4 linked regions of the Caenorhabditis elegans genome follow. The protein of the gene in region 2 interacts with the protein of the main gene of each other region in a pairwise test. Each region holds a gene or a part of one and is shown on either strand. Other genes may lie near its edges. The genes, in order: btb-10, ech-8, pycr-4 and drp-1.

Evidence for each region.
Region 1: the proteins of ech-8 (region 2) and btb-10 interact in a two-hybrid assay, tested with the Caenorhabditis elegans proteins (one large-scale study listed by BioGRID).
Region 3: the proteins of ech-8 (region 2) and pycr-4 interact in a two-hybrid assay, tested with the Caenorhabditis elegans proteins (one large-scale study listed by BioGRID).
Region 4: the proteins of ech-8 (region 2) and drp-1 interact in a two-hybrid assay, tested with the Caenorhabditis elegans proteins (one large-scale study listed by BioGRID).

What each region holds. Positions count from the first base shown.
Region 1 is NC_003280.10:1,059,085-1,062,810, reverse strand, and holds btb-10 (BTB domain-containing protein), read left to right. Parts: upstream 1-2,008; 5' UTR 2,009-2,062; coding exon 2,063-2,166; intron 2,167-2,212; coding exon 2,213-2,579; intron 2,580-2,626; coding exon 2,627-2,771; intron 2,772-2,820; coding exon 2,821-3,098; 3' UTR 3,099-3,149; downstream 3,150-3,726.
Region 2 is NC_003282.8:10,236,072-10,241,041, forward strand, and holds ech-8 (Enoyl-CoA Hydratase), read right to left. Parts: upstream 3,106-4,970; 5' UTR 3,044-3,105; coding exon 2,981-3,043; intron 2,450-2,980; coding exon 2,294-2,449; intron 2,244-2,293; coding exon 2,100-2,243; intron 2,052-2,099; coding exon 1,932-2,051; intron 1,887-1,931; coding exon 1,460-1,886; intron 1,133-1,459; coding exon 1,011-1,132; intron 965-1,010; coding exon 867-964; intron 812-866; coding exon 628-811; 3' UTR 555-627; downstream 1-554. Other genes in the region: lipl-7 (Lipase), read right to left, coding at 3,253-3,330, 3,834-3,945, 3,994-4,475, 4,843-4,970.
Region 3 is NC_003282.8:7,475,501-7,479,294, reverse strand, and holds pycr-4 (Putative pyrroline-5-carboxylate reductase 4), read left to right. Parts: upstream 1-1,997; 5' UTR 1,998-2,005; coding exon 2,006-2,114; intron 2,115-2,172; coding exon 2,173-2,426; intron 2,427-2,494; coding exon 2,495-3,031; 3' UTR 3,032-3,132; downstream 3,133-3,794. Other genes in the region: Kinetochore-associated protein rod-1, read right to left, coding at 1-137, 195-490, 538-690, 746-842; slc-25A18.2 (SLC (SoLute Carrier) homolog), read right to left, coding at 3,216-3,511, 3,562-3,794.
Region 4 is NC_003282.8:5,536,925-5,542,070, reverse strand, and holds drp-1 (Dynamin-1-like protein drp-1), read right to left. Parts: upstream 3,584-5,146; 5' UTR 3,582-3,583; coding exon 3,269-3,581; intron 3,219-3,268; coding exon 2,653-3,218; intron 2,608-2,652; coding exon 1,858-2,607; intron 1,742-1,857; coding exon 1,591-1,741; intron 1,541-1,590; coding exon 1,451-1,540; intron 1,399-1,450; coding exon 1,304-1,398; intron 1,253-1,303; coding exon 1,136-1,252; intron 1,087-1,135; coding exon 1,030-1,086; 3' UTR 706-1,029; downstream 1-705. Other genes in the region: tebp-2 (SPK domain-containing protein), read right to left, coding at 1-181, 250-434; Sex-determining protein fem-1, read left to right, coding at 4,215-4,289, 4,343-4,468, 4,513-4,573, 4,623-4,669, 4,720-4,825, 4,873-4,961, 5,017-5,146. UniProt on the Caenorhabditis elegans protein: Functions in mitochondrial division. Functions in peroxisomal division. Mediates membrane fission, perhaps mainly of the mitochondrial outer membrane. Mitochondrial fission may be promoted by recruitment to mitochondrial membranes via the egl-1/ced-9 complex.

The sequences.
Region 1 (3,726 bases), on a different chromosome or scaffold from region 2:
AAGAGCTGCCGCATGAGAGAAGGTCTTCCAGGGTGAATAGAAGAGTTGGCTTAAGAACTAGTCTGTCGAGGTTCTGAATGAAAACTTTCTGATAATCCTGTGAGTCTTTGTACAGACAGTTTCGAATTAGAACTTGATTCGCAGATGGTAAGTTTGCCCAGAAAAGCTTCGAAGTCAGATCATCAAATCTTGGGGTTGCCGATGAAAAATCAGCAGCTAAAAGCCGTCAATCCCCTCCAGAACCCTTGTTAGACCTTCAATGTCTAAATTCCCAGAGTCCAAGGGAGTTTTTAGACTAAAATCGATCCTCTGAATCGCCAGCACATCCATCAAGAATTCGAGCCAAGATCTCATGGTTTTCCGGGTGAACACATTCACATGGTGACCGTGCATTGATATTTTTACAAACTGAGGAATGTCAAAACTTGGCACAAAGCATCGGCATTTATTGTAGAACTTCAACCATACTCGTTTATTCCCAAATTTCATCTTGAAATTGAAACCTTTTGCAAAATTGAACCCACTCGAGTCGACTTTCAGGTGGAGTGATTTCACGATTTCTTTGGTGGCGTCGGAGCATAAGGAGAAGGCGAGTCTGGAAGTGAATAAGGTTTTAATAAGTTGGAGAAATTGTTAAATCTCATATTTTCCTGAAAAAATATAACGGAAAAATGTGTCAACTGAAAAACGTGACCTGAAAGCTTGCTAAATTTTTTTTTTCAAAAAAAAAAAAAATCAAATTTGACATAAACTCACAAATGCACAATTTCCATACTGCGAAGCACATTTATCCTTGATTTTTCCGGTAGTCGGAGTATAGGAAAAGGAAGGGGCTCACCGGCATTCATGGCAGTTTACGGAGCAAAATGAGCACACTACGAGGCTCGGGAAGCAATTAGGGGGAGGTGAGGTATTAGCCAGGTGGCTCAGGCCATCTGCCGTTTAGCTTGTTTCAAATACCAAAAGCATTCAGGGGATTCGACATAATTCGATGTGATGAATGTGAGGTAAATGTGGAACAACACTGATTTGGGTACTTTAGGGTAGGATTAACCACCAAAAGGGTCTTGGCTCCGATCAGGGGTGTGCGGAAAATCTCAAAATTTGCCGAGCTCGACAAACGGCAAATTCGGCAAATTTGCCGCACACCCCTGCCTCCGACTGGGTTGTAAATGGGTACCTTTGGCGAAAATTGACATAACTTTAGAACCTGATTAGCTACAAAAAATTAAAATATATTTCTTGAAAGTTAAATTAATGGGAACATTTTTGGTAATATTATCAAAAAAAAAATTATATTTTTTCTTTGAGATATAACAGTTTCAATATGTAAAACTACTGTTTTCAACTGAAAAACGCCAATTTTACTTCAATATTTTAAAGTTCTCAGTAGGAATCGTAAGTTTTTATGTTGTTTTTGATATGGAAAATAACATGATCTTATTTTATTTTTCTAAGTTTCATCAAAATTGGAAGCGAAAATTTTTTTTGAGAAAATTCACCAAAAATATATTTTGAAAAATTATTTCAAAAGCTTGCTATATGATTAGAAAAGCCAAAAAGAAATCAAAGAAATTTAGTACTAAATCAAAAAGTCTTGACAAAATTAAAAATTTCCAAAGAAAACTATAATCACAGATAATTTAAAGTGCATCAGAAAAGGATTTCTACCATGTTCTGTTAAAAATTAACAAAAAACCAAAAGTAAGAGGTGCACATTTACATCCCGTGTAGATCCTTTGACTTTTCAGTTTTCTCCAAACTGTTCAGGGACGACTGGTTTCTCGGAGCGAATTCTCAGTTCGATAAGAAATTCAGCAGATTGATTTGAACACATAGATTCGTTGCGGGAAAAGAGCCTTCCACCTTCCCAAGATTTCCAGCAACCTTTCCCATCTGCGCACAGTTTGTATCGATCTGCAACACCGTGTGCGCGCATAAATTGCCTAGGCTACTCTCACTCTACATTTTTGTGGGCCCCTACAATCATCTTTTTTGTTTTCTCTTCTGCTTTCTTTGTCTATTCTTGTATCCTTGCATCTTTCCAGAATTTACCGAAACAATGGACAATATTGTTACTCAAAATATTAAATTTGAAAGCGAACCAAATTACTACCTAAGAGGTTACCACCTCTTTGATATCAGTCCTTTGAACGGATTAAAATGGTAAGAAAAATGTTATTGAACGACAGATGAAACAGTATTTTTTTAGTGAGATAACTGATGAATTCGAGACTGACAAGATTCACCTGAAAATAAAGCTGGATTGGGATCAGCAAGAAATAAAGAAGATCACTGGTTTCATCCAATTGTCGTATGATGGGCATCAACTGAAGCCTATTGATTCGAACTTTGACAAACGAGGAGGAATCTGTATAATGACAGTCCCAAAATACATTAATGCATACCGCTGGTCGTTTTCGTTTGATCTAAAACTCCATCGCTACCCAGCCAAGCCACCTCAGATTTCTCATGACCTCAATCCTCAGGTCAGGTCTTATGACACAATGTTCGAGCCGTCCAGGAAGCACGATGCGGTGCTCTTAATCGGAGAGAAGAAGCTTCATGTGAACAAGGCTGTAAGTTTTAATTTGGAATCTTGCTAAGCTAAGCTTGAAAATTTCAGTTCCTCTCCTACCACTCCGACTATTTCTGTGATCTATTTGCTGAGAAATTCGATGAGAAAAACGGGATCCCCATCGAAAACGTGACCTATGAGAATTTCGGACTTCTCATGAGTATTATCTACCCTGAAGCGGCTTTCTCGAATCGTGAGTTATTCCTGATCCCTTCCAGCAACCAACTAATCTCAATTTTCAGATCAAAACGCTGAAGTCCTTCTCGAGCTGGGAAATCGTTTCAAGATCCCAGCAGTGATGCGCCACGTGGAAAATCAAATCATTCGAGACACCAAGTTCCCAAATGAACGGTTGATTTTTCTGGCAGACAAATACGAACTTCAAAAGCTATTGGCTATGGAAATCCAGAAGATGGAAAGCTTCGATCAGGCTAAGAAGTTCAAAGGATCTGATGATTACTCGCAGTTATCGGATGCGACAAAAGCCAAGATCTTGGATCGACTCATTGAGTTATCTTGATTTTTTCTTCAAGACCTGATTTGATTCTTGGAAATAAATCATTCTGTTATGTTTTTTTGAATTATTAGGTTCTTCAATTGGGCGTACATGACTTTTACAGGGCGATAATAATTGCGCGCAAACGGGAACGTGAGCGGCAGGGTTAAGCTTCTCAATAAGCATTGGTACATGATTTTATAGATCATTTTGACAAGGCAATCATGAGTTGCAAACTCGAGCAAGTCGACCAGCTCAAAAAATAGGCTCAGCACCCGGTGTACTGAGCCCCGATCTGAAAAACCAACAAGTTCTTAAAACCAGACACAGCGAAATGGGCAAAAAAAAAACGACTGGGCTTCACAGTTTGGCTATAAACAATTGAAATTTTCTTGGTTATGAGGAAACCCTCTCATCTCTTGTTTCCGTAAAAAAATTATTACATAGAATATAAACATTTATTATTTAATTTTACAAATAAAAAGAGCTCTTCTGACGCCATAAAATGAGTTTAAATTGGAACAATTGCAAGGAGAATTACTCTCCAACCATGTAGAGCATATACCACTTGGCATAAAAGAGATTGACAACAGTCAGTTGTCCATGCCAATTGAAGGTTCCTGGACCCTTACGAGCCCCATTTTTTTTCGTC
Region 2 (4,970 bases):
TTTGAAGTTTATTGTCGGTCATATCGAGCACCAGAGGAAACACTTTTTTCTTGAAAAAATGTGTGTTCTACCTATTTACCAAGTATTTTTCGTTTTGATATCAAATTTTTAATCCCAACACAATCAGTAATATTTTTTAATACAAAACGTCATTTCAGCAAGGCAGTCTTTATGTTGATTTTTGTGATTCTGTAAGGCAACATTTACTTCCACTTTCTTATCAATTTTCAAGCTCAAATGTCTAAGAGTAAGGGTTGATTTCATATGACAGTGCTTGTCCGGTTGAAATACGAAAAACGCCCACAAAATCCATGTTACTGATAATAATGATAAGTGTACAATTGAATGTCTCAAGATCCGTTTTTCGCTAAATGTACCGTACTTTTATTTTTATAATTATTATTTGTGCACCTCACGGGGTTTATCCAAAAAAATACAGAAGACATTTTAATTTTCAGAATTAGAGATGGGCAATTGGTCTTGCAGATTGATTTGCATCAAACTTTCGACAAAATTTATAATCCCCAGCATGTCATTTCTTGTACATAGTAGATCAATTGTATACAGGGTATTTATTTATGTTTTTACAATAATCATCTCTTTGAACATGGTAACGAACTACAAAATTTATAATTTCGCTGCAAAATTCTTCCTGTCCACATTTTGCAACGTGGCCGCAACTTTGTATGTTCTATCATTTGGTTCTAAAGAATTCCAGAGAATAATTGTGCTCGCAACTTTTTCAATTCCTTGAAGCCATCCAAATCTCATCGGACCACCAGTAGCAACAGGCCATCCAAACCCGAGAATGCTGAAACAATTGTGCTCATAATTTTAATTTTTTTTTGAAATTAAGTTTTACTTACAACATGATATCGATCAAACTTTCATGATGGATGATTCCTTCCTCAATGCACAAAAGACCTTCGTTGACCATGGGATACAAGAGGAAATTGACGGCATCCTGGTAAGTTTTCGGTTGAATTTGAATGAAATTAGAAAGTGAGTACCTGATCGTTCAAAATTTGTATATTTGGACTTGCAGCTGAAGAAAATTTTCGAATGAGCTGCTCCATTTCTATATCATTCTCCTTTTTGTGAGTATTTGGATCATATTTGTAGTATCCCTTATCTGAAAATTACACCTAAATTGGTAAAAAATATTGGGCTTTTCGTGACAGTTTTGAAAATCTTCATTTTGAAAAAATAAATTGAAAACAATAATTTCCGGTTTTCCTTCTGGAACGTTCAAAATTTTGATTGGCACTTATCATTACCACTGAAAAAATATTTTAAAAATTTCAGACTTCAGCTTGTCAAATATTTCAAACTTTTCTTATAGCCGGAGCGAAGGTATTTGTTTTTTAACCTATGTATAACTATTTGCCGCTGGTGATACTCCAAAGAAATTGAAATTATCCGTTTCTCAGTTCATTTCACAATTTATTTAAAGACGTACTTGTTTTTCTACCGTATCTCTTTTGTCTCCAAACTTCCTTTTCAAAATCACTTGCTGGCCATCCATTCTCCTTTTTCAACTTTTCCATTACATCTAATCCATTCATATCAGCTACTGTTAAAGGACCCATTAGGAATCCAAAGTTTGTAATGATTTTATCAATTTGATGAGGAAGATATCCGTATTCATACATCAACTTTTGACTCTGATTCAGATAAACTCCAAGTAGCCGGTTAAATACAAATGCTGGACAGTTTCCCACAAGAACTGGTAGCTTTTTGATAGATCTACATGCTTCAAAAGCTGTAGCAACTGCTTTGGAGGAAGTTTTCGATCCGTAGATCACTTCAACCATTCGAATCAAATTTGCCGGATTGAAAAAATGAATTCCAACTACTTTTGTTGGATCTCTAAGTACTGATGACATCTGAAAGTGAACATGTTCTTTTGGAATAGTTAACTTAAAGCGTACCTCATTCAAATCTAAACTTGATGTGTTGGTTCCAAAAATACATGATGGTTTGCAAATTTTATCAAGTTTAGTGAAAAGTTCCTTTTTCAGTTTCATATCTTCAAAAACGGCTTCTACAATCTGAAATTTTTCTTTTTTTTTCTTTTGAAAATAAAAACAAAAACTCACCAAATCACAATTATTTAGCTTTTGAAAATCTGTAGTTATCTGTAGATTTTTTCTCAATTTTTCAACTTTTGAATCGTTCAGTCTTCGAAATGCTTTTTCCCTTTTGTAAGTGATTTCCAATTCATTTTTACAGAATTCGGCAGCCTGCAAACAAGTTTAACTGAATTGATATTATTTTTAAACTTTATGGCTACCTTATTGTTAACTTCGACAAGATACGTCTCAAATCCTGATAAACAAAATGCGATTGCAATTCCTCTTCCCATGGTTCCACCTCCAATTACAGCCACTGATTTGATTGGAATTGATTTCGAATTTATGTAGTCACCGCGATCATTTGGAAGAGACCACTGAAATGATCAATTTTCATATTCTGATGTAAAAAAATTGTGATTTTCAGATATTGTTAAAGCTGAATGCTGAAAAACTTTGCAAAGTGTAAAAATGCGCGTTTTTCTCGAGCAAGTTCTTCAAAAATTTTGGCAACTGACTAATCAAGGGATTTTCTTGTTTATTATTATTTTTCACCACAACTTAGAATTTTGCCATTGAATCATATAGTCGTGCTCTTCGATATTTGAAAAATACTTTAAAAAAATATTATTCCGATGTTTGCCGGATGAACTAATATTTTATATTATCAATGAAATCGAAATCTGTAACTTCAGCTATTTTCTGTTCTCTATATACTATAAACGATATCGTTTTAGTGATTTCTACCATTGCTCAATTCAAAATTCTGCCGAAAAGTGGTCTTCCCTCACTGAAAAATACCAAAAACAAACAATTCACAAATCTACAGAGTGCCCACGGATACGGAAAAGCGGAAAATAACTAATTTCTCATTCAAAAAACTTTATTATTTTAGTTTTCAAAGTTACCTGAGCCGCCAATTGATGAGCCTCCATCAAATAGTCCCTCACTGCTTGTGGCACTTTATCCATTTTTCTGAATTTCAAAAATCTAAATTTCAAAATAAAACCAATTGTAACGAATTAAAAGATCTAAAGAAATTGCATTGATATATGCCAGATGTGTCCCACGTTAGCGATCAATTGATAAGAAGAACATTGTAGCCTATAGGTACATTTTGGCCATTAAAACAACAATAAAACACGGTTTTATTTATTTTTGAAAAAAAATCGATGAAAAATCATAAATGTTTCTTCAATTTGTGCATCCGAGTGATTCGATATTTGTTGTAGTCATCTTGGATAGTTTCGATGATTTTCTGGAATAAATTTGTTTTTAAATAACTCCTTATTATGTAATTTCAAAAATAAGAATATAACATTAAGAACAACCAAACCCGGCATTTTGGAAAATTTGGACCATTGCTCAAAAACGAAAAAGTGGGAAAATAAGGAATTGAAATATTTTGGAACTCTATTAATTTATGTTAGAGAGAATTTCTGCAGAAGCCGTTCCTTTTCAAATGTTTTCTGTTCAATGTCTAGAAAGAGTGACCACATTTTGAATACACCTTGGCCAGAAATTGGTCAAACTTTGCTCGGAACGTGTTACAGATTTCAAATATGAGGTGACCTAAGTCTGACCCACCAACTTTCATTTTTTTTAACCTTCCAGAACGCACACATGAAGTCTTTACCAAGGCCTGATCAAAACCAAATCAAAAGGTTTTACCAAAATTTGACAAAGTGTAAATATTACAGATGCGCGGTCTAACGTTAATGAAAAGATATTATTCAGTAGGAAATTTGATTTCAGACTTACCGGATATAAATCAAATGCAGCATGCGTACCGAATACAAAATCCATATGACTGTAGTGTGGAAGTTCCAGTGATCCAGCGATTGTTTTATTCATTTTTGACAGAATCGAGTCTCTACAAATCATTCATTTAGTTACATCAAAACTAATATAATTGATTAACCGAATATCTTGAGTATCAGCCAAAATGTCGTCACGACTCCAATAGAGATAAGTTGGTGTGTTGATCTGTGTCAAATCATATTCCGGAGGAGTAGGTTGCCCGTATTCAATGATATTTCCATCAGTTCCATAATCAAACTTAGAAACAGTCTGTGATTTGACAAGTTGAATCCAGTGTTGCAAATCTTTTACAGAAGTGGCTGCAGGTGTATGACAAAGATATACACCAACTCTTGATTGATTGAACATTTTCTCATTTCCATCAATGAAACCGATGTCCAATGTACAAATATTTTGCATAAAGAATCTGCTGCACATGTAACTTATCATTTTTTGAACAGTTCGCGGAATTGACAGTGGAGAGTATGGAAGTCGACCGAGCAAGATTTCTGCATAAGTTAGAAACTTTGTCCCAAACAATCCAAATAGACCACCGATATGGGATACTGTTGCAACTGGAGCCAATGCATGGAAATGACGAATCTTAAATTATTGTTGCTTTTGAGGAGGTAAAGAAAGACTAAAAGCATATTAACTGATCGTATGTAACTTTCTACAAAGAAAATGTTTGTTAGCATACAGAAACTATAAATATATACTGATCGTGATTTTCAATTTTGTGCAAAGCATGAGCTTGAGAAACAAATGTTGGATTACGGCAACTACATAAGTAGTCACAACAAAATGTACTGTTTGTAACTACAATACCCCATAATACGAGTAGTCATACAAAAACATGTCAAATACATCCTTCATCGCACGGGTGCCGAAAAACTGTCTGACTAATTATAATTAGAAACGAATTAGATTTGTTTTAAAATTCTCTGTGTCTAGCAATAAATTGAAATACCTTCTTTGCAAATTCTGGATTTTCTGCAAGTCTTGAGAACATAATCATAGTTCCTTGTGAGTGTCCCAAATAATATAAAAACTCTTGTTTTGTCTCCTTCAATACCAAATCCACACTCGCTGTCAAAT
Region 3 (3,794 bases), 2.8 Mb from region 2:
TCGACGAGACCACACCAGTGAATCCCTCTTTGCTGATCAATTGAAGCGAACGTCTGAAGTGGCCCATTGGAGATCAGAGTAATGTCACCTGCGACCTTCGACATGTCAACAGACTTTGAAACCGTTTTTCCCATTGCCTGAAAAGAGAGTATTAAAATTAATTTGAAACTTTAAATGAATGTGATGAGCGTTACCTGGTGGAAAAATTCCTGAATCTGATCTCTGTGCCAATTTTCGAAACGGTTAGTCTCCTTAGATGCAGCCACGTCTCCTGGCAATGTGATAGTATGCCAATTATCAGATCGGCTCCCGAAAATCAATTGGCAAACACTGGAAGTAGTGTGACAGACAACGAAGTCAATTTCATGAGGAGCTGGCTCGTTCAAGTAAATTTCTTGTTTATCCAGCGAGAGAATTACAATACGACGATGTTCAATGACTCCAACAAAGAAGGAAGAACTTCCAAGGATTTCGAAATCAGTGATGGCTCCTGAAAATGTTGAGAAATCATTCCAGAGACTCTGAAATAGCTCATACCTCCAAGTCCGGTGTTGAACGAGTAGTCGCTTTTCTCGCCAAGACTGAAGACTGCCAGATCGGAGCACGACGCAAGAACAAGAAATCGCTCGTTACTTTTCGGTTTGAGCTTCCATGCCGGAGATTTCTTATCGATTGACATCTCATTTAACACTGAAACATACATTTAATTACATTAATCATAAAGATAATAGTTTTATTTTCTTACGGGGAAGGATTCGCCCAACGGTGCACACATCATAAAGGCCCACAGTCGACGTTTCCGCTTCCAAGTCCACAGCTTTTGCTTCGCCTAGGCGACCCATTCTGCAAATACGACATTATAATACACTGGTATCTCTAATTAAAAAATTTAACAGAAGAACGATTATAAAAATGAGTGAACAATTTCATTTCAAAAAATGTTTTTCGCCGCCGAAATAAGTGTCAGCAGGGCGCAATTTCCAAGTGTTAGAGTGAGAGAAACAAGACTTTTTTGAACCAAATAGTTGAATTTTGAAGCAAAAAACCAATAACTAAACACGAAAAGCGTTTCAAATCTCATACATTTCCTTACCTTTAACTGTGTTGAACAAAAATTAAATAATGAAAAACAATTAACACATTCAGTAAAAATTGATCGAAACGTGGAAATTACGTGTTCCTAACTATACAGCTTTTTTAAACGTAATTTTAGACCGGAAAACTTCTTTAAATTCAGAAATTTCACTATATTTATCAAAAATAAATAGTCTGAAACGATTTATTAGGATGAGGCGAGAAAATAACTGAAAATTAAAATGATATCCAAAAGAATTAAGATTCGTGTAAATATAGAGAAATTCGCGCCTAAAATTTGCGCGGGCAGGCGAAAAAAGACCGTAGTTTTTCGTCCCAAAACCCATCTCCAATATTCAGCATGCGCCTTTAATATGTCTACCGTATCTGCTCAGATGTTTCAAGTTTTTATCATAAATAAAATAATTTTACATTTTTTAAAGAAATTTTGAAGTGTTTATTTTCTGTGTTTCACCTGTTCCTACTGTTTTGTTCGTGGTTTGAACGTTTTGAATTATTTTCCAGAGCAGGATGACAAAACTGAACCGATGACAAATATATTTTATTATCTATACGGCCTCTGGAATGATGACAAAATAATCATCTAGGTGACTTTCTGTGCCTTTCACGGTTTTAAGATACAAATTTTTATAGAATACTAGTTTTTCATGTCAATTTCGGTACTAAAATGATCCCAGCATGTACCATAATATATCTTATTGTAACTTTTATATAAATGGAGACTTAGACGTCTAGACGTCTAACAAGAGACATAAAATAGAACCCAGTTATATGTTAAACGCACAGAGACGCAGTTGAGAAACAGAATCTCGTTAAGCGGGCAAACCTCTGCTCATGTCTTCTTCTTTTTTTTTTAATATGTTGCTTTTTGTTGTGTCAAAAACAATTATTATTGATTTCAGTCAAAACCATGACTATCGATACTGAATTGACAAACGGGTCCTCAGAGTCTGTGCCATTCGTGTTCATCGGAGGTGGAAATATGGCCGCTGCAATTATAAAAGGATGCCAGAATAAAGGTGAGTTAAAAAATTGTTCTCCTCGTTGATTTGAATTAAATTGTTTTCTAATTTTTAGGCTTTACACCGAAAAGCAATATTGTAATTGGCGTTCAAACGGAAAAATCGGCTGAGAAATGGAGGCAACTAGGATATAAAAACGTTTTCACAAACACACTGGAAATGCTGGAAAGATATTCGACGGCAATCTATGTGATTTGTGTGAAACCTCAAGTTTTCGAAGAAGTTGTGTCAAGCTGGCCTGTAAACTCAAGACCAGAATTTATTATTTCTGTAATGGCTGGAGTTCCATTAAAAGTTCTCAACGCGAAGGTGATTACTATAAGCAGTTATAAAATAATTTTAGAAATCATAATTTGCTGTACATAACATTTTTCCAGTTGCCATTCGTTTCGGGAAACACTACCATTGTTCGTTTGATGCCAAATGTAGCAAGTTCTATTGGAGCCGGCGCCTCGACGATGTGCTATGAAAAGAATGAAAAAATTATGAATCAAGATTCTCACATCGAATTGGCACGCGAGTTCGCCGAGTGTGTTGGAACTGTCGAACTTATCCCAGAAAGATGCTTTAACCCGGCAATGGCTATTGGAGGGAGTAGTCCTGCATGGACATTTATGTACATCGAATCACTGGCAGATGGAGCCGTCGCACAAGGGCTCGGACGAGCAGAGGCTAAAAGATTAGCTGCTCAAGCAGTACTCGGAGCAGCTCAAATGGTGCTCAATTCGAACTCTGGATTTGATATTGAAACTCAGCACTTTGGATCCCTCAAAGATATGGTTTGCTCCCCTGGCGGTACAACGATTGAAGGTGTTCGGGCACTTGAGAAGAACGGATTCCGTTACGCTGTTATGGAAGCTGTGGTAGCTGCCTCGACCAAGGCCGATGAAATGGCAAAATCTCTGGCCAAGTGATTAAGTTAGATTTTGTAATGCTTTTCACACATAACTTGTTGTTGTTGATATTTAAAAAAAAAATCTTTTTTTGAAAAAGAAAATAAATGCTCTAGGCGAAACCGACGCAAACGTTAAACATTGCAAATGACTGGCCAGAAATGAGCCCTAATTAATTGTGAAAATTTGGGAATTGGGGGGAAATTTATACTCTTGATCCTTTTTCCAAGCCGAGAATCTTTTCGGCCGATCCAACATAGTAGACAGTCTGAGCGATTCCGAAAAGTGGTGCCATTACCATCATTCTGCAAATTGCTCCTTTAAAAAGAGCTTTTACACCTTCATCAGCGAGAATACGATAAAACGCGTGGAAAATTCCGTTGTAGTTGGATCCTCCAGTTTGAATTCTTGTTTTCACAACGTCCAATGGAGTCACTGATAATGATGCAGTTGCTCCAGCAGTTAATCCTGATACAAAGCTTGCCCAGAATACTGCGTCGCCTTAAATATGAACTTGAAAATTTAAAGTTTCAGTAAACAATTCGACAAACCTGAATCGTCTTTCTTTCGTGGACCGAGGCCATCCAAATAGGCGAAAAGCGGGAAATACATTGCTGAAAACGAAACATCTCGTGCCATTGTCGGTCCAAGGCCTTTATACAATGCACGAACACCACCATCCTTTGTCAACAGATTCCAGATCAGCTTGGTAGCTTTTACTTTATCAGAAGACTGCTGCATTCGAATTTTCAATAGCTCCATTGGTGTGGTGATTACGACTTGA
Region 4 (5,146 bases), 4.7 Mb from region 2:
AAACTCGGAGAACTTCTGAAGACATCTATTCGAGTCAACACGCAGAACAGTTTTGAATCTGGCCTCCAGTAAAGTCTCGACATGTTGATTCATTTCGATCTCCAGGTTCTTGTAAAGAGTGAGCATTTTTCGCGGCTCCAGCTCACATTTGTAAAGCGTAGCTTTCATTCTTGTAACGTAGCTGAAAATTGAAAATTAGAGCTTTTGGTTTGGTCAAAGTTTAAACAACTAAAAATGAAAAACACTTACAATTCGTATAGCTGCTCCGCCGTAAACACAGACTCATGTTCTTGTAGATATTGCTTGAAGAGGTCCAAATTCACGTCATCGAACAACTGCATATTACACGTATTTTCGTAAATGAACTCCCAAATGAGGAGCTCATCGTCGAATGACGGTTCTGACGGCTTATTCTTCTTTGCTCGCGTTGACATTTTTTGAACGCTGAAATATCGAAAATGAATTTTTTGGACAAAACAAAAAATGAATCCTAAAATTTTCAAAACCGTGCGGATGAAGCAAAAGCGCAATTGCCGCACGGTTCTATGGGCGTGGTCAATCTCAGCTGTTGGCGCAGATCGAGTGACACTCGAAATGCGCCAGCAGTGCTATTGGCGCATGTTGAGTGAACATTTTTTAAAGGGTCGGAAAAAAGATATTAAAAATAGTTCAACGAGAAAATCAACGATAAACACGAAATATTTTCAAGCATCATCAAAGAATTTCATATAAATCCACCTTTCTGTTTCCAATATTTTCAAAAGCCACAAAAAAAACTAGAATCTACAACAAACCGTGATTCTTTCAAGGAGCACACAATATTATCATGAAAAGAAAACATCAAAGGGAACGGAGCATAGAGATCATACAGAAACGGGGGAGTTACCGAACTAGAATTATCATCGAGGCGAAGAGAAGAAGAAAAATAGTTAAAATACAATAAATCGAATCAATCGTGAAAATAAAATTAGAATCGTCCTAATCTACATTGCAATAGTTAAAACAGCTGGAAATTATTTGATGGGAATATCACCAAACTTGTGTTTCTCTCACTTCGCTGATGATCACGCTGGCTTGTTGGAGGGCCTGAAAACAATAAATTGTGTCGAATCCAATCAAAAAGGAGACCGAATACCTTCATAGTTTCAAGAGTATCTCTTCTTCTCTGAGCCATGTCTTCAGTTTCAGCCAACAAATCGTCCATCTCGTCGGGTTTGTACAGCTGACGAACGAGCTCCGATTGCAAATTGTCCTGAAATTAAAGAAATTAATTTAAATTTTTAAATTTAAGCTTGCAACTCACTCTAACAAAATTGACCAGTAACGCCATAATAGCTTTCGGCACACTATCCTGAATATTCTTACGAACAATGATGAAATAGTTTCGAATAAGCCGTTCTGAAAAAATAAAAAAAAACCCAAATTAAAAACTGAAAACTAGGTCTCATACCGATAATAGCGACATCTCTTTGTTCACGACTTGTCAACTTTCTTCCTAGTTGCGTCTCTGGCACTTCTGGCAAAAAATTTGCTGATTGCTCTGAAAATATAGATACTGAATGACCACAAACTCTTTATTTTTCCACTGACTTTCTTGTGGGGACGTCTTGCTGCTGGCAGCGGCGTTGCCGAATAATCCAAGGAATCCATTGGAAGCACGTTGGTTCTGGGATTGCTGCTGTTGTTGTTGAAGAACAGCGTTCAAGTCGACACCATTAACTCCTGGTACCGGTTGTAGCTGCTGAAAATTGTTTTAATTTGACTGCTTAATACTAGGAATCCAATGAGGTTAAGCCCATGCAATATTAAAGCCCAGTCAGTCATCCGCACTTCCTGGCAGGAAGTTCCTGCCCCCACCTGTTCTCCATGAGCACTGACCGCTCTTTCTCCGGTTGATGCATGTCGATTTCTACTGCGACCATGCCGATCGTCGAGAAGAAGCTCCTCTTTCAAAAGTGTCACCAAATTGGCTTCTGTGAATTCTGGATGTTTTGTATTAATGTAAGCAAGTTCAATGGCTACAAGATTCTCGACAAGCTCATTGGTGGGCTTCAGCCTCTCTTTCAGAACTCCACTAACGACCTCATTGATTTTATCGTACAATCTTGGGAAACGAATCATCTCCTGTTGAGTAGTGAATCCGCAATGCTGAACCATTCGTTGCATTTCTTCGTGTACCAGCTCAACGCATCTCAACGATGGCTCCTCCAATCGTTGAATTTGTCGCTTGACAAGCAATTCAAATGAGACTTCTGGTACGAAAAGAGCTGGCCTTGGTCCTGTCGCGTTTCTAATCGCAGTCAAAATATCCAATTGTGTGAGGTTTTCCAATGGATTGACAGATTCCAAAGATCTTCCGAAGGTATCGTGGAAAATGTAGCATATACGAGCACCTCCGCATAGCTCAGTTGTTTCAATATTGCGGGCAGTTCCTTCGATAGTTGATGTATAAGCAGTTGCGAATCGAGTTATGATTTGAAGAAGTGTTCTGTTCTTATCTTCAACTGGTTCACCGAATGCAACAAGATCCGATTGGCATTGGGCGTTCATGATAGACACGCGGGCTTTCAGTGCAGGAAGACAGTTGCGAATATGGTGCATGAGAAGCTGAAATTAATTTCTAAATAATTTTTTATTTATTGAAATTCTTACCATATTCAATCTCTTTGCCAAATAAGGAGTTCCATTTCTGCTAGCTAATGTTGGATATTTCTTTTGCATAAAGCTTTGCTCATCTTTCACTGCATCCACGATCAGTTTGTTGTCGAGAATATTCTGTTGAGATCGATTAACGACTCCAATAATTCCCAACTTTACTGGAATCACTTTCCCCATTAATACGTCCATCGCATCAGTTCCTTGATCCATCAAATCCAATTTCGTGAGAACTGCGAGAGTTCTTTGTCCACCTGCGTCCACTTCTCTAGCTAACTTGATAGGCTCCGAAGTAGCGAAATCCTGGTTCGCTGGAGTTACAGCCAGAATGATAGAAGAAGGATTTGAAATGTAGAGAAGAATCATTTCACGGATTTGCTCTTCAATATTGACTGGTTGATCACCAACTGGGATCTTTGTGATGCCGGGAAGATCGACCAGGGAGAGGGAGACAACTCTGTGGGAATAAATTTTCAAACTGATTGGAAGAAGAGAGATTCCTTTATTCACTCCAGTTACACGATCAGTTTCATCTTCGATTTCTTTTCGCACGGCATCGAAGTCTGGAAAATTGTTTAAATTTCTCGCAATATTCAAATTACTAAATTCTCACCTGTGAAAACCTTAGAGCCAGTATGTTCGAACATTGCCCAATCATCTGTGAGAAGTGTTCCATTTGACCGTCTTCTTTTGGATTCATCATCGAGAGCAACGTGATTTAACTGAAGAATCAATGGCCTGCGAGTGACAATTCCAGTACCACGCGGCAGAAAATCCCGACCGACTAGATTTTCGAGCACTGAAGACTTTCCGGCCGACTGTGATCCGACGACTACAATCTGTGGAAGTTGAATTTGATCTTCTTTCCTGCCTAACGTTGCGAAAACATCCTGTAGTTTATTGACGACAGGAATGAGATTTTCCATCTGTAAAATTTAAAATTTTTGAATCGAAATGAGAGTATCATTTATATAAAGAGTTTTACGAGGAGAAGAGTAAAAATGACGAGGCAGTTGCGAAATGATGTTTGAAATGAGAAAGAACAACTGCCAGTGATCACAAAGTGAAAAACAATGCATTTGAACACACCAGTGATAACAAGTGATAAAATGTGCGCAAATAGAAATTCAGATAGTCTACTTGGCCTTCGATTGACTGTGAACGCCAACTTTTATATCATCTTTTCGATCCTGCCACTTACTCATTTTTCCCTGGGAAAATGTCAACCATGGGAGTTCCTATACAATTTTGCATCATTCTGCGTAGTTTGTTTCAAACAATGATACAAACAGTAACGATCTTTGAGATTTTTACGGAAAAATTGATAAAATTGAGGCAAAAGTTGACAAAACCGACGGGAAAATCTCTGATATCCGATATTTCCGCCGCGGCGCTGAACTCAAAATTTCGAGCACTCCGCAATAATCCTCACGTCAGATTGCAGACCGTGCACCCTATCCGACGACAAATCACGAGGAGTATTTTCTTTTCTTTTTCTTCTCGAATTTCTGCAATTTCTATTAAAATTCCGCCAGTTTTTTTTTGGAAAAATTGGCGGTATGACACCAAATGGACATCATTTTCGAACAGTAATTTATAATGCTGCGGCGGTTGGAAATTTGCAGAGAATTAAAGTAAGCAAAAAGCTCAAGTTAAAGAAAAGTTGTCAAAATAAATGAATTTCCAGGTTTTCACAATAAATTCAAGAAACGATCGACAATGGATAATTGATTGCTTCAATTCTGATCAAGACGGACGATATCCACTTGTGATTGCTGCAAGAAATGGACACGCAAATGTCGTCGAATATTTGGTGGGAAAAATGAAAATTAATTAATTAAATGAGAAGATTTTCAGCTAGAAATTGGAGCCGATCCATCTGTTCGTGGTGTTGTGGAATTTGACAACGAAAACATTCGTAAGTTTTTATTTCTGTTCTGAAAAGAAAATAAAACAATAGTTTTCAGAAGGAACACCTCCTTTGTGGGCTGCCTCCGCTGCTGGACACATTGAAGTGAAAAATATTTCATTATTTAATGCAATAATGTTTTATTTCGATTTCAGATCGTAAAGCTCTTGATCGAAAAGGCAAATGCAGATGTAAATCAAGCAACTAACACAAGAAGTACTCCATTAAGAGGTGCATGTTACGATGGACACTTGGATATTGGTAATTCCTTGAAGTCGAAGAAGCTTTTTTAAAAATAAGATTTTCAGTGAAATATTTACTCGAAAAAGGTGCAGATCCACATATACCGAATCGTCATGGTCATACGTGCCTGATGATTGCATCCTACAGAAATAAAGTATGATTTTGAAATTTTTAATTAACAAAATATGAGAAAAACTAAAATTTTGTAGGTTGGAATTGTGGAAGAGCTCCTAAAAACCGGAATCGATGTGAACAAGAAAACCGAGAGAGGAAATACGGCTCTTCATGACGCTGCAGAAAGTGGAAATGTGGAAGTTGTGAAAATTCTTCTGAAACACG